Linked DNA regions of Anolis sagrei. The protein of the gene in region 1 interacts with the protein of each later gene in a biochemical or structural test. Links are inferred from orthologs where the notes say so. Each region holds a gene or a part of one and is shown on either strand. Other genes may lie near its edges.

Region 1 (12,891 bases):
TACATTTCACAGTGATTGTGGTTTTCCATGATTCTATGCATTTCTGACGTATCAAACTCAAGGTTCCACAAATATGGTCATTAGTAGCAGTTACTTAAAAATGGCAGCATAGCTTGTTGTTTTTACATTACAGGAGAAGAATGGTGCAAAAGCCTATCATTTGAAACTGATACCAGGCTACGTTTTGTGGTATAATTTACCACTGGTTTTCTCAACCAAAGGCATAGCTAAGGTAAATAAGAGATTTTATGACATACTTTTAGCCATATGGTGCCTATTCGAGCAGCTACTTCTAAATATCTATGCAGACCATACATAAAACTCTTATGGCAGCAAACAGGCTATCCGTTAAAAGGATCACAGTTCTTATTTTTACCACAAACTCTTCAGGAAACATGCTGATCTACTTGCATTTGTCTCCTAGTGCATCTTGTTCTGCATATCATAACTTTATATTACATTTTAGCAATACTGCGGGTGATTTATTAATATCACAACAATTGACAGATTTCCCTACTTGTGTTTGCTCAGAAATAAGCCCCACTGAGTTAAATCTATACTCACTCCAAAGGTGTGCATAAGTTTGCTCTCTGGGCTTCTAATAATGTGTTCTGATATCCAAATTAGTTCTAATATCTCAAGAAACAAAGTGAAAGAACAGAGAACACACATGTGTCCAGATGCAGTGTTTATATTTACTGTCAAATTATAAAACCTGCCATTAGATTTGTGTGCTATCCCCTCTTATTTATTTCACTGGAAAGCTCATGTGCAACCATCAGAGACTTCTAGCCTGTTTCCTGCCATGCAACCCAATAACATCAAAAATAAGAACTGGATCCAAAACAGTTTTGCAGAATTCTGTTCACGCTGGAACAAAATAAATACTTCAAATTGCTTTAGAGATTTGGGGAATTAGAGCAATATGACACATTGTTGCAGGGAGGCAGAAAACCTGAAATGTCACTTTCATTATTTTCTTTCTCACTTCCCTCTGTTACATCCCAGTAGCTTCTGTTCACAAAATGGATCACCTTAATCCAACTTCATAATTTATAATTGGTTGATAAAATGGCAAATTGTAGTCAGCTAAAAATAAAATCATAAGTTTCATATTACGGTGGGTCCTCAAGGTTTGCTTTTTGGCTTTTCTTTTTTTTTTTTGGCGGGGGGGGGGGTATATTTGAGACATTAACAGTGGAATCTAGATGTGGAATCTGTAAATAGAGAGTTGTCTGTACAGTGTGTGGATAAGGAAGAAAGCATATATGCAGAAGGATCCTCAGAGTTTTTTTCATGCACAAACATTTCTAGTAGTTCTACATTAAACCTACACTCAAGCAATGATTGTCTTGGAAATATTTAAGTAGAACATCCTCAAGATCGGTGATTCTTAACCTGTGGGTCCCCAGATGTCCTGGCCTTCAGCTCCCAGAAATCCTAACAGCTGGTAAAATGGCTGGCATTTCTGGGAGTTGTAGGCCAAAACACCTGAGGACTCACAGGTTGAGAACCACTGCTCAAGATGGAAAGCCTTTTGAGCAAGAAAAAAAAGGGAATAACATGAATATATTCAAATCTTTTAAATGCTTCGGCTGAAATACTCCTCACTCACATCACTTCTACCAATCTAGAACATATGCCTTATAGCTGATATGCAACACGGCAGGGATGGGGAACAAGCAATTGGCGAGAAATAGGCGATTGTTGTTCCCAGCTATCCTAGTCTGAGTAGCCAATGGTAAGAAATGTCAATAAGTGCAATTCAACAATGTGGAGCAATGCATAACACCCATTCCAGTAAGAAAGGAACTGCTATAAATTTTCAGATGTAAAACATTTGCTCCAACATAACCAAGTAAATGTAAGATTGACATGTAAATCCATTATAGAATAATAAGCAGACTGCTGCACAAGGATCCCTTTAGACTGCTATGTGGGTTAATTATTAACTGGTAGGCATGAGCCCCTCCCATACCTTAACCCATTTCATAACACTTTTGTAGGATAAATGATTTGACAATCACATATGTCAACATGAAGATCTGGAAAAAGTTGGAATATACATGGGTTGCAATAAGAGCATTATACAAACTCCAATAATATGTTTTTTAAAAAGACCTCACAGAATTGCTTCATTCCTACGAATCTAGCAGAATGCATGCTGTGAGTGTATATGTGCAGCACTCTAAGTCTCCTTCGGGGTGAGAAGGGCAGGATATAAATGTGGCAAATAAATAAATAATACATTGCATAGTAAAATCCCTACTACTCTCTAGCATCAAAAGTCTAGTTATAGGAAAGCAGAAAATAAGATAAATCAAGTCCCATACAGACATAGCCCATTGGGCATTTAAGTTGGTGAAAGGTAGTGATCTGAAAAGTGTGACAAATAACCAAAGCATATTCTGCATCAACATGATTGCCACTCTTATGAGTTCAGTAATGATTTTTCTCACAACACATAGTGCAATCAAATATACAACCAGTCCATGTAATCAACTCTGGTTACCTATTTCACCTACTGAGTGAAGAGAGTGCATACCATCCTACAGAAATTTACAAACTTTTTCATCTTTTTTCATGAAATAAATACAGCTATTTGAGGTTGAAATCCCAAACACCACTGTCTACAAGCTGCATCTAGCAACGAGGTAGAGGGCCTAAATATGTACATCAGAAACATTACAGATCTTTACAATACTCCAAAATTGTCCACATAGGTGTCCAAGAGTGTCCCTTCTACTTTAAGATGGTTTGATATATATTTTTAAAATTTCATACACAGAATTATTAAAAACCATATCTATAAAATGACCTATATGTGGAACAAAATGAGTTTGTGTTAAGACTTGGATCCCATTTCCAAAGACATCCCCTTGTGCACATATATGCAAATGAAAGCATTCCAAAATACAAAAAAAAAACCCCTCTTCAATACACTTCTGCTCCCAAACATTTTAGGTAAGAGATGTTCAACCTGTATCTATGACACACAGATAAAGACAGATTGTCATGCAGCCTGAAAAGCTGAAAGCTAAGGAGAAGAGCACCTCTCTGGGAAATGATAACTGAATACATCTTAAACTTTTCCATCTTCTGACTGAATTATCTCAGCATCAAGCAAACTAAAGAAACAAAGCAGGTCAAAGGAAAAAGGAGGAAAATAATAGAAGGCACTTTAATAAGAACAGCTATATTCTTTGGCTGGGCAAAGCACTTCCTGCTCTTCCCCCTCAAAGACACACAACCACCATTGCCCTACCTGCCTCTTGAAAGATTATGAAGTAGGTGTGTCCCAGAATTAACTTTTTTTCTCCTTCCTGGCAAGTTTCCCTGCAGTTTGTTCTTTCTTCAAAGCCATTTATTGAATAGAAAACACTGTGACACTCTGCCTTTATATAAAGTGCTACATGCAAGGAAACTGGTGGAAACAGATAAGAACAGATAAGCTGATTAATGATCAAACATTTTCAGAATATAGATCCCTCAGCCATGGAATCAAATGTAGCAAATTCCTTAATCTACAAAATTTAAAACCTGCATTGCCTGTCATCAGTATGGTTATGGATAAATTAATTGAACTTCACATTAGAACACATACTCATTTGTTAGAGGAGCTTTAACTCAAGAGCACACTTTCACTAACAGCTGCCTGACAGGCACTTCCTCCCCTCATACTAGGAAAAAGCAGCACTTGTTCAACCTGCCAAGCAAAATTTCGGTCCCATCCACATTGACCATATAATGCAGTATCACTGTGCAGATCATCATACAGGAAATCCCAGAACCAGTTTGACACCCAGATTGTGATTTTACAAACCACAGAGCACTGATGTGTATTAAGGGCTTTCTTTTTGCTTGCTCTTGTGGAACTTTGGCATCTGGCTGAAGCAGTCTGAGGTTTCTTCTACACTGTCATATATCTGCTTTGAACTGGATTATATAGCAGTATAGACACAGGCCCCTTCCACACAGCTGAATAAAACCCCACATTTTCTGCTTTGAACTAGAATACATGTAGTGGGGACTCAGGGCTCTTCCACATAGCCATATAACCTAGAATATCAAGGCAGAAAACCAGATTATCTGAGTCCACACTGCCATATATTCCAGTTCAAAACTGAAAATGTGGGATTTTATTCAGCTGTGTGGAAGGGGCCTCGCATAACTCAGGGCCCTTCCACACAGCCATATAATCCATAATATCAAAGCAGAAAACCCCACAATATCTGATTTGAACTGGGATATCCAAGTCCACACTGCCATATATTCCAGTTCAAAGCAGATATTGTGGGGTTTTCTGCCTTGATGTTCTGGAATATATGGCTGTGTGGAAGAGATCTCAGACAATCTAGTTCAAATGTGGATTATCTGCTTTGATAATCTGGATTACATGGCAGTGTAGAAGGGGTCTGAGGATAACTTCAAACTGCAGATGATGGAGACACAGATATGTAAAGCTGTGCTTCTCATGTCATCTGAGGGGCCATCCAGACAGGGCCTATATCCCAGGATCTGATTTCTGCTTTGAACTGGATTATAGGAGTCCGCACTGAGATCAGATCCTGGGATATAGGGCCTGTCTGGAAAGGTCCTAAATGATTACTTTTTTTACTCCACTGGGACAGGAACAAGCACCATATTTATGTCCTTTGGTTACAAAATTGGGGACAAGTAGCACTGTTAAACCCTGTTTAAGGAGCTCCATTGGCTGCCGTTTACCTACCGAACTCAATTCAAGGTGCAGGTGCTTACCTACAAAGCCCTTAATTGTTTGGGACCTGCCTACCTGCAGGTAGACTGCATCTCTGTCTATGAACGCATGCGCTCCCTTCATTCATCCGGGGAGGCCCTGCTCATGATCCCGCCGGCGTCACAAGCGCGGTTGGTGGGGACAAGGGATAGGGCCTTTTCTGTGGTTGCCCCCCGACTTTGGAACACCCTCCCCAAAGACATCAGATTAGCACCCACGTTGGCAGGCTTTAGGAAGAGCTTGAAGAGCTGGCTGTTCCGATGTGCCTTCCAGGAATAGGAAACTTCAGCACTATGTCTCAGAAGCACTTTATTAGAGTTTTAAGATCCTCTGCACATTGCACATGCCCTGAAATCCAATATGCTGCCTATCACACCCAGCACTTTTAATCTGTACCCACTACTTGGCCCGGCCTTGGTTTTACTGTGTTTGTGATGTAATGTTTTGTTGATATTGCTTTATGTTTTTGATTTGCTTTGAGCTGTATTGTTTTATGTTGTTGTTTTGTTGAGGCCTCGGCCTTTGTAAGCCACATCGAGTCCTTTGGGAGATGCTAGCGGGGTACAAATAAAGTTTAATAATAATAATAATAATAACTGTGGTGCTCTGACAAAGGGTGCATCCAGACCAAGCAAGGGAAAAACCAGTGGGCTGTTAGGAATTGTGGGAATTGAAGTCCAAAACACCTGGAGGGCCGAAGTTTGCCACTGACTGGTCTCCACTGTAGAATGACTGCAGTTTGACACCACTTTAACTTCCATGGGAGCTGTGGCTTTACATGGCCTGTAGCCTTCTCTGCCAAAGGGTGCTGGTTACCACACCGAACCACAACTCCCATAGTTCCATAGCAGCCCAAGGGGCATCAAAATTGCATTGATTCCTACAGTGTAGACGCACCCAAAGGGAAGTGTAGGGAATGGAGGGCGCCCCTCCCTGCTCCTACGTGGCCAAGGCCGCTTGTCCATCTTGAGAAGAGCAGCTGAAGACAAGCCAGGACAGCAGCCGGCCTCCCCTCTCCACCCCTTGGAGGCGGGGAGGAGGAGAATGACGGGGGAGGCTGAGGAGGACATGCAAGGCCTCAACCAGGCCCCACCGGAGGGACTCTTTAACTCAGGAAGCGGCTATTCCCCGCTCCGCCACGCCCTCCATCTTCCCTCTTTACCTTCAGCCCGCCGCCTCCTTCTCCTCCTGCTGCTGCTTCACCACAAGAAGGACGTCAGAGAAGTCCAGGTCGCTCCGGCCCCGTTTCCGCCTTCTTTCCACTCCCCCCTCCACTTCCCCTCACAAACTCCAGCGCCAACCGGAACTGCCTGGCCGGAAATAGAGCGGCGGGTTGTCACTCTACTGCCTCGCCGCTCGCATAAAGGGGCCACGGTGTTCTTTGGAACGTGGCGCGTCGCCATAGAAACAGCATCCGGGTCTCTCACTCTTCCCTCCCATAGTCAACATTTCCATGGCAATTAAAGGGAAATCAACAGTAGCATCATAACAGGGTTGGGAGAGAAAAGGCTTGCAATCCCTTCCGCAAAACTATATAAAATCCCACATTATCTGCTTTGAACTGGAATATATGGCAGTGTGGAATCAAGATAACCCAGTTCAAAGCACTTATTGTGGGATTTTCTGCCTTGATATTCAGGGTTATATGGCTGTGTGGAGTATATATAAATAATAATAAAACTTTATTTATACCCCGCCTCTATCTCCCCAAGGGACTCCGAGTGGCTTACATGAGGCCAAGCCCAACAACACATCAGTAACAAAAAGCAATAACAAAAAATAACAACACAATTAAATAAATCAAATTTGGCGGGGACGAGAGACAGGGCCTTCTCAGTGGTGGCCCCTCGGCTATAGAATGCCCTCCCTAGGGAGATCAGATCTGCTCCCTCCCTCTTGACGTTTCGGAGGCAAGTTAAAACGTGGCTATTCGAGCAAGCGTTTACAAATACAGAGTAGCTAATACGGGAAATCGAATGACCTGACAATGGAATTGGACAATGCCTGAGAATAATGAGACGCTGATGATATCGTTTTTATTGTTTTTATGATGTCATATACTGCTCAATGTTTTTTGTCTATCATCTTTTATGTATACCGATTTGTTGGAAAACGCCTTGAGTCGCCAATTGGCTGAGAAAGGCGGTATACAAATACAGTAAATAAATAAATAAAAAATAAATAATATAAACATTACTATACAAAGATTTAAAACCTATGGGCGGGCCAGATGTAATCGTTTAAAAATTAATAATTATGCTGATCATGAACAGGTAGGATATATCTAATAGGAGGGTTTTAAAAAACAGATAGTTAAAGCGCTTTTGAGGACATTTTGCTGGGAACTGTTTCCTTATTCTGGGAAGGCACACTGGAGCAGCCGTATTTTCAGGCTCCTCTTAAAGACTGCCAATGTTGGGGCGTGCCTGATGTCCCTTAGAAGTGAGTTCCAGAGTCGGGGGGCCACCACCGAGAAAGCCCTCTCCCTCATCCCCACCAATCGCACCTGCAAGGGCGACGGGAGCGAGAGCAGGTCCTCTCCAGATGAACGAAGAGACTGTGTGGGTTTATACATGGAAATGCGGTCACGCAGGTAGGCGGGTCCTAAGCATAATAAATTGTGGCAAGTTCTTGGTGGGATGGGCATACCAAGTCACCTTGTCTGTCTCTTGAGGAATCTGTCTGACGACCAAGTAGCAATAGTAAGAACTGACCATGGAACAACAGACTGGTTCAAGACTGGGAAAGGCGTACGGCAGGGTTGTATACTCTCACCCAACCTATTCAACTTGTATGCAGAACACATCATGCGATGTGCAGGACTTGATGAATGCAAGGCTGGGGTTAAAATTGCTGGAAGAAACATTAACAACCATAGATATGCAGATGATACCACTTTGATGGCCGAAAGCGAGGAGGATCTGAGGAGCCTTCTAACCAAAGTGAAAGAAGAAAGTGCAAAATCTGGGTTGCAGTTAAACATAAAAAAACAAGATTCTTGCAACTGGACTGATTAATACCTGGCAAATACAGGGAGAAATTGTGGAGGCAGCGACAGACTTTGTATTTCTAGGTGCAAAGATTACTGCAGACGCAAACTGAAGACAGGAAATCAGAAGACGTTTATTTCTTGGGAGGAGAGCAATGGTCAATCTTGATAAAATAGTGAAGAGTAGAGACATCACACTGGCAATGAAGATAGTTAAAGCGATGGTATTCTCCTTAGTAACCTATGGATGTGAGAGCTGGACCATAAGGAAGGCTGAGCGAAGGAAAATATATGCTTTTGAATTCTGGTGTTGGAGGAAAATTCTGAGAGTGCCTTGGACCGCAAGAAGATCCAACCAGTCCATACTTCAGAAAATAAAGCACTTCTGCTCACTGGAGGGAAGGATATGAGAGGCAAAGATGAAGTACTTTGGCTATATCATGAGAAGACAGGAAAGCTTGGAGATGACAATGATGCTGGGGAAAATTGAAGGAAAAAGGAAGAGGGGGCGACCAAGGGCAAGATGGATGGATGGATGGTATCCTTGAAGTGACTGGCTTGACTCTGAAGTAGCTGGGGGTGGTGACAGCAGACAGGGAGCTCTGGCATGGGCTGATCCATGAGGTCATGAAGAGTTGGAACATGGCTGTGTGGAAGGGCCCTAAAAGTGTACCTCATAAAACCTTCAGAATAAAGAGATTTTCCTTTTTCGCTTTTTGATTTTGCTTTATGACTCCCTGCTAATACAACTAGGCTGTGTATGCTTCCCCTTTTCCAAGATTAAGGAAAAAGCCAGATTTGTTTCCAACTGCAAGAGTAATGACGTTTGATATCCCTCTGCTATGACTCAATGCTATCATGGGAATTGGAGTTATGTGAGGAATCAGCACTATTTTAGCAGAGAAGGCTAAAGGCCTTGTAAAGCTGCAACTCTCATGTTTCTGTAGCATTGCATTGTGGAAGTTAAAAGTGGTGGTAAACTACATGAAGTACATACCTAAAGGCTTTGAAACTCACGTGGTTAGTGGCAGGGGCCATTTTCTCTACACATGACTGGCTTTGGTGGGAGAAAGATCCTATTGTAGTGTATTGGTGACTTCCCATGCACAATTCTAGGAGAGATATTGTCCTCAGTCAACAATGGCAGGGGCAGCACCAATTAATCATCTGCTAGTCAACCTTTTCATCTACTTTTAAAATGTCAAAGTTTCCCTCTGCACCTCACAGGCCCCTTCTACGCTGTCATAGAATCCAGATTATCAAAGCAGGTAATCTGCACTATCTGCTTTGAACTGTGTTGTATGAGTTTATACTCATATAATCCGGTTCAAAGTAGATCATCTGGATTTTTTATGGCAATATAGAAGGGGCCTCACTTTCTATCTTCGTTCTTAGTTTATTTCAGTACTTACTACAAACTGAGTCAAAATGCAGAAATGGTTTGCACACAATTCATTTGTGGGAGAAGTGATGGAAAGGTGAAAATCTTGCCATTTGATTCGTGCAAAAGTAAACTGATACAGCGTCCTGTTACCTTGTGTGCTCTTTCTCATTAAATCCTTTTACACTCTTGACAACTCTAATTTTGCTTGGCTGCATGTGTCCTGGTTTTCATCTGTGAAATGTGTATGCAATTATAACTCAAGGGCAAGATTGAACTGTTAGAGGGAGGAACAGACATGGGGTGGCATGCCAGAGGCCCATTTTAAAACAGATCTAGGGTAGCAAATAGCAGCATCAGTCAACGGACTTCTGAAAACTCTCTGCCACAAATTGTAGCTCCTTCTTTGGAGGCTTTTAAACAGAAGCTGGATCATCATCTGTCAGAAGTGCTTTGATTGTGCTCTTTCTGCAAGGCAGGGGATTGGACTAGATGGCCCATGTGGTGTCTTCTAACTCTGTGATTCTGTGTAAATAAAAAAAGCCAAACCAAAAATTGTTTTTCAAATAATAAAGAGGGCACAGAAAGGCTACTAAATTACTGTAAAAGAAATAAAAGTATACCACATGCTTGAGATTACCTTGAATAAGTTCATAGAACTGTTTTTTATTAGGTAACAACATTAGAAGATCATGTTTCTGCATATTTATGATATGCAAAAATATATTTGTGGCACTGCCAGTCTAATCATGTGATGTTACTTTATTTTAGCATGACTTCAGCATGTGACTTGTAAACCAATCTAATTAAAGCCCTTGATGGTAGCAAAGTAACCGAGCAAATGTATCTATATGCAACTGAGCTTCCCCAAGATCTCTAACATTACGATGGCGGAGTTTTCAGATGTTCCTACAACGTCGCCTGCGGCAAGAAAAAAGACAAGTTTGACAATCCAGGACAAAATTGCCATAATAGCTGCCATAGAAAATGGAAAGAAAAAGACAGAGATTGCAGGAAAATATGGCATAAAGCGAAACTCCTTGTATTCCATTTTGAAGAACAAAGATAACATTCTAGAAGCCTTTGAGTCTTTGCCATTTGATCCAAAACGAAAGAGGTTGCGTATGGCATGCTACACTGATCTGGAAGAGGCTCTGGTGAAGTGGTACCAAATGGCACAGTGTTCAAATGTACGAGTAGATGGGCCATTGCTACGCATCAAAGCCAACCATTTTGCACAGAAACTTGGATATAGTGATTTCAAATGCAGTAACGGCTGGCTAGATCGCTTTAAATCAAGGTATGGATTAGCATTCAGATCTCAGTCAGGAATTGCTACCGCTATGACTCTGACCGATGCTTCTGCAGCGGATGCTGTAACTGTTTGGCATCAAAGTATCCTGCCTTACTATGTAAAGGTTTATCGACCGAATGATATATTTAATCTGAAAGAGACAAGGTTGTTTTATCAGATGTTACCCAGTCATACATTTGCATTTAAAGGAAAAATGTGCTCAGTGGGGAAAGTGAGCAAGGAAGAATTAACTCTCATGGTTGGTACCAACATGGATGCCTCAGAGAAACTTCCTTTGCTTGTCATTGGAAAAAATAAAACTCCCCGCTGTTTTCAGAGCAGAAAGTCACCTCTTGTTCAATACCATCCCAGTACTATGCCATGGAAGACTTCAGATGTGTTTGAACAATGGCTGAACAAGCTCGATAAGAAGTTTAAAATACAGAAGCGTCACGTTGTTATTTTTGTGGACCCTTTCCCAGATTTTCCAGAGGTAAAGGATTTAAAATGTATCAAGCTTGTATTCTTTCCTTCTTGCTCCGCTTCTCGATTTACAGCGATGAAGCAAGGGATTATCAAGAGTCTGAAAGTCAAATATCGGACCCTTCTTCTCAAGAGGTTTATAGACTGTATAAACACCGGAAAGGAGTTTGCACTGACTCTGCTTGATGCCCTTGGTATGTTGCAGCTCTGTTGGAGGGCTGTATCCTCGGGGACAATTGTTAACAGCTACATTGCAGCAGGGTTTAGATCAGGCTCTGGGGGGAAAGCTTCTGTAGATGCAGAAGCTGAAAATAACTTCAATTTGACTGCATATGCACTGGCTGCAGCAGTACAATTTCCAAATGTCTTATCTTTGGAAGAATATGCTGCTTTGGATGAGGACTTGGTAACCCCCAAATGACTGATAACAATTAAATATAATATATCCAAAATATATATTTCGAGTCAAATTTGTGGAGGAAATTAAGGTAGAGGTTTTTCTGAACTTCAAAATTTTTTGCCATTACAGAATCAGGCCCAGACTGCTTTCGGCTGGATCTACACTGCCGTACAATGCAACCTGAACTGCATTATATGGTCAGTGTAGAGTAGACTCATATAATGCAGTTTGAACTGCAGTGTATGGGTCTATATCAGGGGATCCTCAAATGTTTTCAGCAGAGGGCCAGTTCATAGTCCCTCAGACTGTTGGACTATATTTTGGGGGGAAATGTATGAATTCCTATGCACACTGCACATATCTTATTTGTAGCACACACAAAATGAAAGAACAATAAAATATGAAGAACAGTTTTAACCAACATAAACTTGCCAGTATTTTAATTAGAAGTGTGGGTCTGCTTTTGACTGATGAGATAGTCAAGTTAATTAGGATTGTTGTTGTGTGGCTTCAAGTCGTTTAAAACTTAGGGCAACCCTGTGTCTAAAGTTTAGCGCAGGGGTCAGGTAAATGACCTTGGAGGGCGACATCTGGCCTGAGGGCCTTAGTTTGAGAACCCCCAGTCTTCCCTTTGACAATATAATACAGTTCATACTACATTATATTGAGGGAGACATAGTTTAAAATGGAATTTTCAGGGATTTCCCAATGCCCATATGTCCTTATGGTTTGAGAAAAATTGCTGCAGAGAGTGAGGCCGAGCGTGGCAGGGGGTCCTGCCTTCTGTTGGTCTGCACTGCAGCGGAGAGTTCCGCAGTTCCTGGTTGAAAGAAAAACGGGTGAAATGTGGTCCTGCAGGCAGCTCAATAATAAGACTGCACTCAGCCTCCCTTTGCTTTCCCTTCTGCCTACATTGTAACGTTCCCCTAATAAGGCACTTGACACTTGCAACTTTTTGTCTTTCTGCATGCTACTTTTGTATCCTTCCCTGCTGCTATAAATTCTAAGACTGTCACCTCCTTTTCTTCGTTTTGGGCTCCTTCACCCCGGGAAAAATTAGTTTGTTCCAAGTATTTTATCTTGCAGAGAAACAGCTGATTGTCGGTCTGGCTGGGCCTTCCGCTTCTCCACGGCGGTGCTCGCTCCCCCTCGATCCCAGGCCCCGGCTGGGAGAGGTAGTTTTCAAAGGACATTGCCCCACGTCTCACTGCCAGGGAACCTTTTCTTCGGACCTTTTTTGCCCTCACTGATTGACTTCCTGCCTTCCTGCCTTGGACTGTTTTCCTGCCACATTTCTGGACCCAAACCCCGGACTGGGCTTGTCTGGAAGAGCAAGCAGCCCCCGCCTGTGTGTGTGCCCTTGCCAAGAAGATCATACCTCAAGAACTCTGATGGATTGCTTTTATCAATTGTTGTTGCTTCTAATAAACTTTGCTGGGATGGGGATGGGATGGGGACCCCTTTATGAAATCTATGAGCTTATGAAAGTTTATGAAGAATGTATGTGAAAAGTTTATGATATGAAATGAGATGTACCCTCACCCTCTTTCCCTACTCTTTCCCTTTGAACTTTACCCTACAAAAGTAT
Region 2 (12,147 bases), on another chromosome or scaffold:
CTATTTTGAGTTAAACACTAATGATTCTCCAGTAAAACTATTTGCTCACTTGAGATCTGGAAACTAGAGTACAGAGAGATCATGCACTAAGGTGTTATTCGCAACCTCCGGCTCATCAACATGCATAATGCAAGCGGAGGCCCAGATTCCCCTTCCTCCACACTAGAGTGGCTGGACTATAGAACTGAGCCAGAGGTGGTGTGGAAGTGGTTATTTGGTTTCAATTAAATAAAATAATTCTTGTGAGATACTAGAACGAATCCTCCTTCATTAAAAAATTGACAACATATTGCATGGGCATATAATCTATCGCAAGTGCCTTTTCCTTCATTTTATACTTCATGGCATCAGACCTCAACTAAACCTGCAATGCAATGCAATGCAATGCAATGCAGTTCATTCTGTAATCTGTAAGGCACAAGTGGGTAACTATAGAAAGAGCACAGGTCAAACCCCCCCCCCCCCCATGGGTTGGCCTTTTGCTTTTTAAGTTCACCAGAAATACTATCACATTACTCCAAGTTTCCATCTTGGGCACATTTTTCCTTGATATATTGGAAGGGGGATAGTAAACTATCATACATGTGGCTAGTTCTGAACTATATTAATTTGTTTTCAACTGAACTGTTGTCTGATAAAGTTTTTTAAAAAACATTTAGGGTTGTGCAACTTTTGAAGGTTATAAGGGAGCTTCAGGGACCATAAAAGTGGGCCTTGGGGACTAAATGTGACCTCTCATCCACACTTTCCCCATTCCTGCTGTAAGGACAGAGATCAAAAACAGAGGTACTCATCTCCCAAATGTTTATCCCTCCGCTAAGTCCTCTTGTCAATGCAAAAGTGATCAAGGAGGGCACACTATGGTGGAAATGTTAGTTACCCCACTCTATACAATTACGAACAAAGATCAACAGTGAAGATAACGAAAAATGATCCCCTAACTTTCTGGTAGTTAGTGGAACAGGATGAAATCAAAACATTTAGAAAGTACAGAGGCTTTCTGCTAGCCACAGAGAATAACTGAAGAAACTGACAACTTGTACAATTCAGTATAACTTTTAGTGTCATTAGGTTAAGAATGGGAACTACAATTCCCAGTATGCTACTGCAAGAGAGGGCATGTGTTTCTGAAAGATGGGAAGTAAAATATTTGAATCTAAGATGAAGTAAGCATGTTTCCGCAAGGATGCACCTGACTTGAAGGATGATTTCTTTCTAAATACCTTTGGAATCATGCAACTTGCTTATCCTGTTCTCATTCAGGGTTAACCTGAATTCCAGGGTGCCATGAATAAGAGAAGGCGCCTAGATGAGACCCATGTTTATACAGCAAACAGGATTCAAATCCAGGGAGAGTGCAGGGGCTAGGCTAAGTTTGACATTACACATCATAGCCCAGGCATATAAGGGATCCTTTCTCCTGTGTAACAATATAGAAAGGCAGATTGGGCAAAAGGAGAAACACACACTCACACACACGTGCCAGGCACTGCCCATCACATGAGGCGTGCCAGGCAAGCCCCATATGGCAGCAGTAGTCGTCATTTCCCCATCCCCCAAATGGGTGGCTTCCAGCTGTGGCGGGAGACATCACTACTGTTCCTATAGCTTTAACTTTGAATGTGTTTTAATGATTTTTAACTGGGAATTTCTAAATACTGGTCATATTTAATCATGTTTTAATGTTTGTATATATGTATATTTTTAATTTTTTATGTGGATACTTTTATCTTAAACTGCTTTGAGTTTCCTTCAGGGCAGATAAAACAGGGTATAAATAAATATTATAAAAGTCATGCCCCTCAGCTGGTTATGCTCCTTAGTCTACATGGGAACTGCAGTCCATCCTAGGACAGAACTAAGCACCTTCAGAGGTGGCATAGACACATTACGGAATACCCCCCCCCCCCCGGTGCACCTTTGGGTGTTGCTGGTTAACACTGGAACCCTTTTCTCTCTCTTAAAAATAGGACTCAAAGTGGCGAACAGTGCTAAAAACAATACAGCATGCCACTGTATTATATGCTGCAGTCAATGTAACCAAACACCTTCAAAGGTTGTGTATTGTCACATCCCCAGTCAGGGGCTGCTGTGGTTTTTACTGATTTTTAAATTTTATTTATGTATTTATTTATTGCATTTTACCCTGCTCTATCTCAACCCTGAGGGGGACGCAGAGCGGCTTCCAAATTGGCAATATTCAATGCTACATTCAACATAAAAACATACAAATACAGAATGCAATACACATTAAAATAATCAAAATATTATAAAAACAATGGCATATAAATGCATTACATATATTGTTAAACATTGCACGTAGACCTGAAATTGTAACCCAGAATCCATTCCAAATTGCATTCCATTCCATACATTTCATAGCTGAATGTTGCCCAGTGCTAATCCCCAAACACTTGATCCCATAGCCAGGTTTTAACTTTTTTTCTAATGGACAGGAGGCAAGGTGCTGATCTGATTTCGCTAGGGAGTTCCACAGCTGAGGGGCCACCACTGAGAAGACCCTGTCTTTTGTCTCGGCCAATCATGCCTGAGGGGGGGGGGGATCAAGAGTAGGGCCTCCCCAGAAGATCTTAACATCCGGGCTGGTCCATAGGGGGAGATACCAATGATATTTAATCCTGTTTTAATGTTAGTCTATTTGTAGATTTAAATCATATTGGAATGTTTTTAATGCAAGGTGCTTTGAGTCTCCTTGTGGAGAGAAATGGGTTATAAATAAACATAATCATAAAAGGTTGATGAGTTTTCTGGGCTGTATGGCTATGATCCAGAAGCATTCTCTCATGACGTTTCGCCCACACCTATGGCAGACATCCTCAGAGGTTGTAAGGTCTGTTGGAAACTAGGCAAGTGAGGTTTATTTATCTGTGGAATATCCAGGGTGGGAGAAAGAACTCTTGTCTGTTTGATGCAAGTGTGAATGTTGCAAATGGTCACCTTGATTACAATTTAATGGTCTTGCAGCTTCAAAGCCTGGCTGATTGGTGTTCTGGGGGAATTCTTTGTTGGGAGATGTTAGCTAACCTTGATTGATTCTTCTCTGGAATTCCCGTTTTCTGTCCTGATTTTAGAGTTTTTAAATACTGGTAGCCAGATTTTGTTCATTTTTATGGTTTTGTCCACATGCTTGTGGATTTCAATGGCTTCTCTGCCTAGTCTGACATGGAAGTTGTTAAGAGTGTTCAAGCATTTCTGTGTTTTCAAATAATATGCTGTGCCCAGGTTGGTAAATAAAGGATGCTTGCCATAGATGTGGGTGAAATGTCAGGAGAGACTGTTTCTGGAACATGGCCATACAGCCCAGAAAATGCACAACTGAGTGATTCCAGCCATGAAAGCCTTCAACAACACATTTAGTACTTCCTTTAGTGTCCTATCTTTATGCTTCCCTGTGTAGTCTGACATGGTGATTGTTAAGAGTGCTCAAGCATTTCTGTGTTCTTAAATAATATGCTGTGTCCAGGTTGATTCATCATGTGCATGGCTGACTTCTCAGGTTGAATTAGTCTGCAGTGCCTTTCATGTTCCTTGATTCATGTTTGGGCAATTATGTGTTTGGTGGTCCCTATGTAGACTTGTCCACAGCTGCATGGTATACGGTAGACTCCTGCAGAGGTGAGAGGATTCCTCTTATCCTTTGCTGAACATAGCATTTGTTGGATTTTTCTTAGTGGGTCTGTAAATTGTTTGTACATTGTGTTTCTTCATCAGCTTCCCTATGCGGTCAGTGGTTTCTTTGATGTATAGTAAGAACACTTTTCCTATGTGTAGATTTTTGTCTTTACTCTCATCTTGGTCTTCTGGTGTCTGAGGTGGAGTATCCATTGGCCTGTAGAGCCCAGTTTAGGTGGTTCAGTTCACCTTGGAGGAGGTGGGGTTCGCAGGTTCTTTTTGCACGGCCTGCCAGGGCTTTAACTATGCTTCTTTTTTGACTTGGGTGATAGTTGGAGTTTTTATGTAGGTGTCTATCTGTGTGCGTAGGTTGTCTGTAAACTGTGTGGCCCAATTGTTGATAGGATTTGCAGACAACTAGGACATCTAGATATGGCAGTTTTCCTTCATTTTCTTTTTTTTCCATGGTGAATTGGATGTTTGTGTGGATGCTGTAGAGGTGGTCCAGGAACTTGATGAGTACTTTTCCTCCATGGCTCCAAGTGGTGAATGGTGAAGGTGTCAGCCAGGCTTTGAATCTGCAAGGCCATTCAATGCTAATCAAGGTGGCCAATGGCAACATTCACACTTGCCTCCAACAGACAAGAGTTCTTTCTCCCACCCTGGACATTATTCCAGAGATAAACCTCACTTTCCTAGTTTCCAACAGACCTCACAACCTCTAAGGATGCCTGCCATTGTAGTGAATACTTTTGGAACAAGGCCATACAGCCTGTAAAACTCACAGCAACCTATTATGATTTATTTATTTATTTACGTCATTTTATCCCACCCATTTCAGCCCGAAGGTGACTCAGGGCGGCGTACAAATCAACAACCAATTAGATGCCATATAAAAATACATACATTGGTTAAAAGCAAACAAAACAAAACAAAATCAAAAAACAAATCAAAAACTAAACCACATGAGAATACATTTAAAAACCATAAAAGCAATAAAAACAAAAATTATAAAACTTTGCCTTCCTGTTCAATTCCTCAACTGTTTCCATCGTCTTAGCTGTTCCTTGTTCGTATTCCAATTTGAGTCTGTCTGGTCATGCTGAAGTTCCAAATGTTGTGTATTTATATCCCACTGAAGGTAATTTTGTACAAAGTCAGAAAACAAAGGTGTCACAATTCCAGACACCCATGGGTTTCTGAGTTGCTGTGAGTTTTCGGGCAGTATGGCCATGTTCCTGAAGCATTCCCTCCTGATGTTTCACCCACATTTATGGCAGGCATCCACAGAGGTTGTCCTGTTTTAAGAGGTTTTTTTTTTAAAAAAATACTGGTAGCCTGATTTTGTTCATGTTCATCGTTTCCTCCTTTTTGTTGAAATTGTCCACATGCTTGTGGATTTCATTTTCTCTGTGTAGTCTGACATGGAAGTTGTTAGAGTGGTCCAGCATTTCTGTGTTCTCAAATAATATGCTGTGCCCAGGTTGGGAAATAAAGGATGCCTGCTATGGATGTGGGGGAAACGTCAGGAGAGAATGCTTCTGGAACATGGCCATACAGCCCAGAAAACTCCCCGCAACCCAGTGATTCTTGCCATGAAAGCCTTCGACAACACATCATCATTATCATCACCACCATAGAGAGGGGATGATAAGAGGGGACTGTTCAATGAGGAGGCAAAGAGCTGGTCCCGGCCCTTGTGCGTGGGACGCCCCTCTACCTCCAGGCCAGGCGCCCAAGGCCTGCTAGGCCTGGCTGCCTTCTTCCTCTCCGCCCTCCACACCTTGGCCAGGTACGGTGGCTCGGAGGGAGCTAGGACGGAGAGCTCCCTCGCCTCGCCTCCCCGCCCCCAGCTTTTTCTCTTCCTCCGCACAGAAGGATGACGAGGAGCAGAGCAGCCATGGCTCCCTGCCTGCCTCCTCCCTCACTCACTTGGTCACTGCACAAGCCGCACACAGCAGGTCCTCCCCGCCTCGCCTCCATCCCTGCCGCAACGCCCGCCCTTTGGCCCCCCGCTGGCCTCGGGACCGGCCTCCCCCTCCTCCTCCCTCACCCCTGCCCGCGCGCCCTTCAACCGCCATTTGCCTTTCCCCCCCTCTCTCCCTCTCCCTCACCCCCGCCATTCCCTCCCTCCCTCCCGCCGTGGAATCTACCTCCCTAACGGTTGGTTTCCTTGGTCACTGGCGGCAGCGGCGGCTGTTCCTCCTATTGCCGCCACCCCCGCAGGGCAAGCCGGGCCCGGGCAACCCACCTGCTTCCTGCGCGCGCGCTGCCTCCTCCTCCTCTTCCTCCTCCTCCTGCCGCCCAGCTGACTCTGCACTCTCCCAACAAGAGCAGCAGCAGCAGCAGCGAATCCCCCCTCCCTTTCTCTCTCTCTTGCGCGCGCGCGCTCTCTCTCTCTTTCACGCGCCGGCCCTCCTCCTCCTTCTCCCCGCACCCGGAAGCAAGGAACAGCAGCGGCATCCGTTCTCCAGGCCCGTGAACACGAGACGCTCTCGCGAGACCTCGCCGCCGCCCCCTCGCGAGATTTCCCCCCGGTGTCCTTCGTTTCCATGGTAGCGTCCGCAGCCACTGCTCCTGCTGCAAGGCGCGGGGGAGGAGGGCTTCCAGGGAGGGAGTCCTTGAAAGGCGCCCTGCTGTGGTGGTGGTGGTGGTGTTGTTGTGGGGGGGACGGTGTTCCTGAACAGGAGGGGACGAAGGGGAAGCCAAGCAGGGAGGGGGCCACGACGGCCAAAGAGCACCGAAGGCCAAACGCTCATGGCAATGTAGACGTGCGCGCGAGAGTGGCAACACCGAGGCCGCACTTCACAGAGAAAGCAGTAACCTTCACATTCACAACACGGAGCCCTGTCACGCTGCACTGTCAAATCGCGATGATTCCGCTTCAACGTGCTGTGGGTGTTGCCATGGCAATAGGAGTGCAATCATAGTGCTGTATCTCTCATAGAATCCTAGAGTTGGAAGAGACCTCATGGGCTATCCAGTCCAACCCCCTGCCAAGAAGCAGGAAAATCGCATTCAAAGCACCCCCGATAGATGGCCATCCAGCCTCTGTTTTAAAGCTTCCAAAGAAGGAGCCTCCACCACATTCTGATCAGCTCTCACAATCAGGAAGTTCTTCCTCATGTTCAAATGGAAACTCCTTTCTTGTAGTTTGAGCTCATGAGATTAGACCAGGCATGGGCAAACTTGGGCCCTCCAGCTGTTAGGAATTGTGGGAGTTGGAGTCCAAAACACCTGGAGGGCCCAAGTTTGCCCATGCCTGGATTAGACCCAAAGTCAGCAGAGTTTAACTTCTGGCCCTCCAGATGTTAAGGAATAGCACCCGAGAACAATGCCACAGTATCATAGCACTGTTATTCCACTTTAACTGCCATGGCAACATCTTGTGGAGTTTGTCTTTTAATGAGGACCAAGAGCTCTCTGGCGGAGGACTGTAAAGGGGCCTTTCAAGACAGCAAATCCCACTATCCCCTAGCACAGTGGTTCTCAACCTGCAGGTTCCCAGGTGTTTTGCCCTACAACTCCCAGAAATCCCACTACTTCACCACACTAGAGAATAAATCTGCCTAGTAGTTGCAGTGGAATTATAACATCTACATGCCTGTTTTATATAAAGTTTTTTATTTGCCATCTGTTAGCCTAACCTTATAGGAAAGATGTATATTTCTAAGGAGGAGAGGGGAGTCCCCTGATTCATGGTGCAGCCATTAGAGTCCTACAGAGTGCTTATTGCCTCCAAAGTCTCCTATGTTTTATAGCCTGGATAATCAGGGTGAGAGCCCCCCCCCCCCTCCCCAGGTTGAAAATGCTGCTGTTGAATGCCAGTAAATGGAAAACCAACTGTCACCCAGGACTTGATCCTGGATGAATATGCTGACCTGGTCTATATCACAGAGACCGGGCTGGATGAGACTGGGTTGGACAATTTCTCTCAGCTCTGCCCACCAGGATTCTCTGTGCAACAGCAGGCAAGGTCTGGGAGGTGGAGTTGCAGTGGTCTATTGTGATTCCATCCCCGTGACCAGGTTCTCCATCCCACAGTCACCAGGGTTCAAGTGTTTACCTAAAAGTGGGTAACTGGGACATAATAGGGATTCTCTTGGTGTACTGTGTGGAATAGAAGAATGGGATATTTAAAGACTGGTCTGTAACATTGTTTAGTGCTTAAAAATATTAATAGAAGATAAATGGTAAGACAGATGTTAGATAACAAAAATAATATTTGTGTCCCCCCCCCAATCTTTCTTATGATACATTGTTAGTTAAGAGTCTTGGTACTATAATGTGTGTGTGATATTATCTTGGGGTAGGGTTGAGAAGTTTCCTTCAAAATATGATGCACAGTTTATTATTATTAGAAAGTTTACATTCACCAATGTTAGAAAACTACATTATGTGTAGGGGGCAGTTCCTGAAGGTCTGAAGATCATTGTAATTTAGTGGTATTGGACATTATACAGATGCAAGTTTTGGTAGTTTTACATATCTTTGTGTGTTCTGTTTTGTCTTTTTCTTTACCCACCTTTCCACCAATTTACATTGCAACCAGTGCAATAGCTGATATAGTGGAAGCAACTAAGCTGGCCCACCCCCAACTGGCAGGCAAAGGCTAAGGCGAAGGGTGAATTTGAAGGCCTTCCTGAAGGAGGCCAGACTTGGTGGTGGTGGTGGTGGTGCAGGGGGGAGGTTGACAGGGGTGGAGCTGCAGACTATTTAGTTTATATTTAATATAAATAAAAACCACAAAAATAATATCTATTTTGCTCCTTAATTCAACCTTATGTTTTTGTCTACTATACAATGACCAATCATTTACAGATCTGCCTTGGTTCAGTGAAGTGACAGTCTAGTCTATCTGCCTCTTATTAAACTTGTGCTGTTTGAACTTCTCCACTCATTGACTTTCTTTCTGTGTTTGCAATAACCCCTAAATGCTTTCACAGCCTCTGCTAGCATTCTGCAAACCATACATTTCCACCCCAGTGTCCTATCTCAAATGGAAAATGTATCTGATTTCTCCATCTGCATGTTTTTTGCCCATCTGACATTGGGGCGGGGGAGGAGGAGAACAAAAGTTTAATATTGGAACCTTTAGTGGTAGCCTGACATAAAAGAAAGAGATGAAATAGATATGAAAATGAATTGATGGAGGAAAGGATCCAGCTGCAGGTCTACAATCAGTGTGATTCAGTATGGGGAAGCCTTATTTAATGGGAGGGATTGGGAGAATATAATAGATGTGACAGGAAAAAAAACCATAGACTTCAGATACTGTACAAGGCAAGTGGGCCACCAGATCATATTCTGCTTGCTTTAATATCAAAGCTAAGCTCTTTCCATGCATCCCTCTTACTTATGGAGTGGGCAAAGTAGTCTTTATCAGGAGTCATCCTATTGCAGATACATTTAACAGTGGAATTTGACAACCCAAAATATGTTGAATATTACCACCTACATCTCGCAAATTTTCTGATTGGTGCTGAACTGCCTCTGACTTTTTGATAAGGGCTGCAAAACTGTACCCACGCACCTGGAAATAGGTCCCACTGAATTCATTCGTTCACATTTATTCACAGACTTGGAGAGGATTATACTTTCAATGAAGTATGAGGGAGTAATGAAGGAAAGGAGCAAAGAGCGACATCTTCCTTCTGGTTTTGGCAAACAGATTCATTTGGCAGCACATTGAACAGGAAAGGCATGAAACAGACTGCTAAAGGAATCTCTCCCATTCATCTCATCATAGGATTTCCCAATGCTTTATGTTCTCATCTTAATCTAGACATACATGAGCAACAGAATCCACAAGTTTAGACCATGGTATTGGCCTAAAATGCAAACACTCAACAGCCATTTGCATTGCCTCCACTAGTCAGGCCGATAGTGGTTTGAATTAACCCTGATGGTGATATTCACAGTGGGAGAGTTAGATTCATTTCCTCCCACTCCTGAAGCCATAACTCCTGTTTGCTTCATCTAGAGCAGGGGTCCTCAAACTAAGCCCCGGGGACCAGATATGGCCCTCCAAGGTCATTTACCCAGCCCTTGCTCGGGGTCTACCTAAGTCTGAAATGACTTGAAAGCATATAACAACAACAACAATCCTATCTCATCAGCCAAAAGCAGGCCCACACTTCCCATTGAAATACTAATAAGTTTATATTTGTTTAAACTGTTCTTCATTTTAATTATTGTATTGTTTTAAAGTGTTTTTTTGCACTACAAATAAGATATGTTCAGTGTGCATAGGAATTAATTCATGCTTATTTCAAATTATAATCCGGCCCTCCAATAGTTTGAGGGACTGTGACCTGGCCCTCTGTTTAAAAAGTTTGAGGACCCCTGATCTAGAGAGACAATGGAATACAGAGATGGTTCAAAACAAATCTGTGCAGTGATGTGGAAGTAATTTACTGAAATGTGAATAAAACCTTTAATTTTTCATGTGGCGTTAGGTACAGTACTGCAAGTTTGCCAGTTGAAGAGGCACCTCTGCTTTGAAATACACCAGGCTGTGTTTACACCATGAGGAATATTTTTGTCCCTTTATATGGATTGGGTTTTTTTTACTATGCTTCCTTACAGCTTTCCCTCTTGGTGAACAATCTTCTAAATGAAAATATGTCAGCCAACCTTTTAATTATAAATGAACATACGATCAAAATACAAACAGTGGTCTGCAATCCAGATCTTGTGGCATGTACAGGTGACTTATGTACCAATGGATCTGTGGAAAGCATTGCTAAAAACACATTAGGGATATGCAGGAATAGCAAAGAGATTCAATAGGGCAAATCCTATTTTTAATGAACATTTTAAACTGATTCATTTGATCCCTGGCATCCTGAAAAGGAATAAATGAGTACTGAGCAGCTGTTAATGACTAATAGCATAGACTCCAGCATATCTATTCACAAGCAAGTCCTATTGGAATTTACTTTCAGCTTATTGTATGCAGGATTACAGCTTCATGCCTTGTCTATGCAATCTATGGAATCAATGCATTTTAGTCTTTCATTATTTATTTATTTATCATATCAGAAGTGAACCAAGGGTATAGCTGCAATGTATTTAAAAAAACACAAAGTTTTAAAACTTGGCATTATACTAATTGTCCTTTGATTAGTAGCTCGTCACAGAGTGCCTCTGGTATTGCTATAAGGAGGCCCTCCATTGTGCATGTTACAGGGCACAGATTGCATTGTAATAGGTGGTCCGTGGTTAGCTATCCTCCGCACTTGCATGTCAACTCCACTTTGTGGCCCCATTTCTTCAGGTTGGCTCTGCATCTCATGGTGCCAGAGTGCAGTCTGTTCAGTGCCTTCCAAGTCACCCAGTCTTCTGTGTGTCCAGGGGAGAATCTCTCATTTGGTATCAGCCATGGACTGCGGTTCTGGGTTTTAGCCTGCCACTTTTGGTCTCTCGCTTGCTGAGGTGTTCCTGCGAGTATCTCTGTAGATCTTAGAAATCTGTTTCTTGATTTAAAGCATTAGTGTGCTGGTTGATAGAACAGAGGATGGGCAAGAGATGTCACGGCCTTGGTCTTTTCATTACTAGCTGCTACTTCCTGGCGAATGTCAGGTGGTGCAATACCGACTAAACAGTATAATTTCTCCAGTGGTGTAGGAGATAGACATTTTGTGATAATGTGCCATGTTTCATTAAGAGCCACATCCACTATTTTAGTGTGGTGAGATGTGTTCCATGCTGGGCATGCATACTCAGCAGCAGAGTAGCAAAGCAGAAGGGCAGATGTCTTCACTGTGTCTGGTTGTGATCCCCAGGTTGTGCCAGTCAGCTTTCGTATGATATTGTTTCTAGCACCCACTTTTTGCTTGATATTCAGGCAGTGCTTCTTGTAGATCAGAGAATGGTCCAGGGTAACTCCAGGTTATCTTTCATAATCATAACATGTGACTTCCACCAAAGAATACTGGGAGCTGAAGTTTGGAAAGATCTTAAATATATTTGCAGGGTTCCCTGTTTCTATCCCATTCCTTCCCCACAGACTACTTTCTTCTAGTCTCTAGGGAAGAGGGCATGACTTTAAACCAATTTAAGTTCCTAGAATGGATATGCTGTAATGACTTTATTGTACCATATGCTATTGTAGGCTAGAGTTTTTTTTGACTTGCAAAAAGTGGTCTTGAAGTATAAGTAGGGACAAATAGTTTTGTGTCCTGCAAATAGTCTTTAACTTGGGTGATTTTCAGAAAAATGAAAGTAATTTTCAAAGAGAAGTCATCGCTCACTTGGTGGGCAACATACTATTTTCATTTGTGCTAAAATGATTTTGCAAATTTTTAATACAAAAACCTGCAAAAAAATATTCAGTAAATGCTGATGCTATGACAAAATGAATGTGTGTGCAAACCAGCAGAAACAATAACTCTCCCAGAATGACTTTTTCACATCTCTCAGAATCTGGTGATAAATTTAAATCAGTTTAAATTAATTCCCTCTTTGCAGGAACCTTAAGAAAAGTGGACTGTGAGAAAGAAATAGGATAAT

The links.
Region 2: the proteins of ARFIP1 (region 1) and ARF3 form a complex in vitro, tested with the Homo sapiens proteins (2 studies listed by BioGRID). The link is inferred for Anolis sagrei from reciprocal best matches to the Homo sapiens genes ARFIP1 and ARF3.

Annotation. Positions count from the first base shown.
Region 1 is NC_090025.1:51,025,092-51,037,982, reverse strand, and holds the start of ARFIP1 (arfaptin-1), read right to left. Parts: upstream 6,080-12,891; 5' UTR 5,919-6,079; intron 3,425-5,918; 5' UTR 3,266-3,424; intron 1-3,265. Other genes in the region: TIGD4 (tigger transposable element-derived protein 4), read left to right, coding at 9,978-11,324. UniProt on the Homo sapiens protein: Plays a role in controlling biogenesis of secretory granules at the trans-Golgi network. Mechanistically, binds ARF-GTP at the neck of a growing secretory granule precursor and forms a protective scaffold.
Region 2 is NC_090022.1:137,917,302-137,929,448, forward strand, and holds the start of ARF3 (ADP-ribosylation factor 3), read right to left. Parts: upstream 6,116-12,147; 5' UTR 5,885-6,115; intron 5,879-5,884; exon of another isoform or gene 5,787-5,878; intron 1-5,786.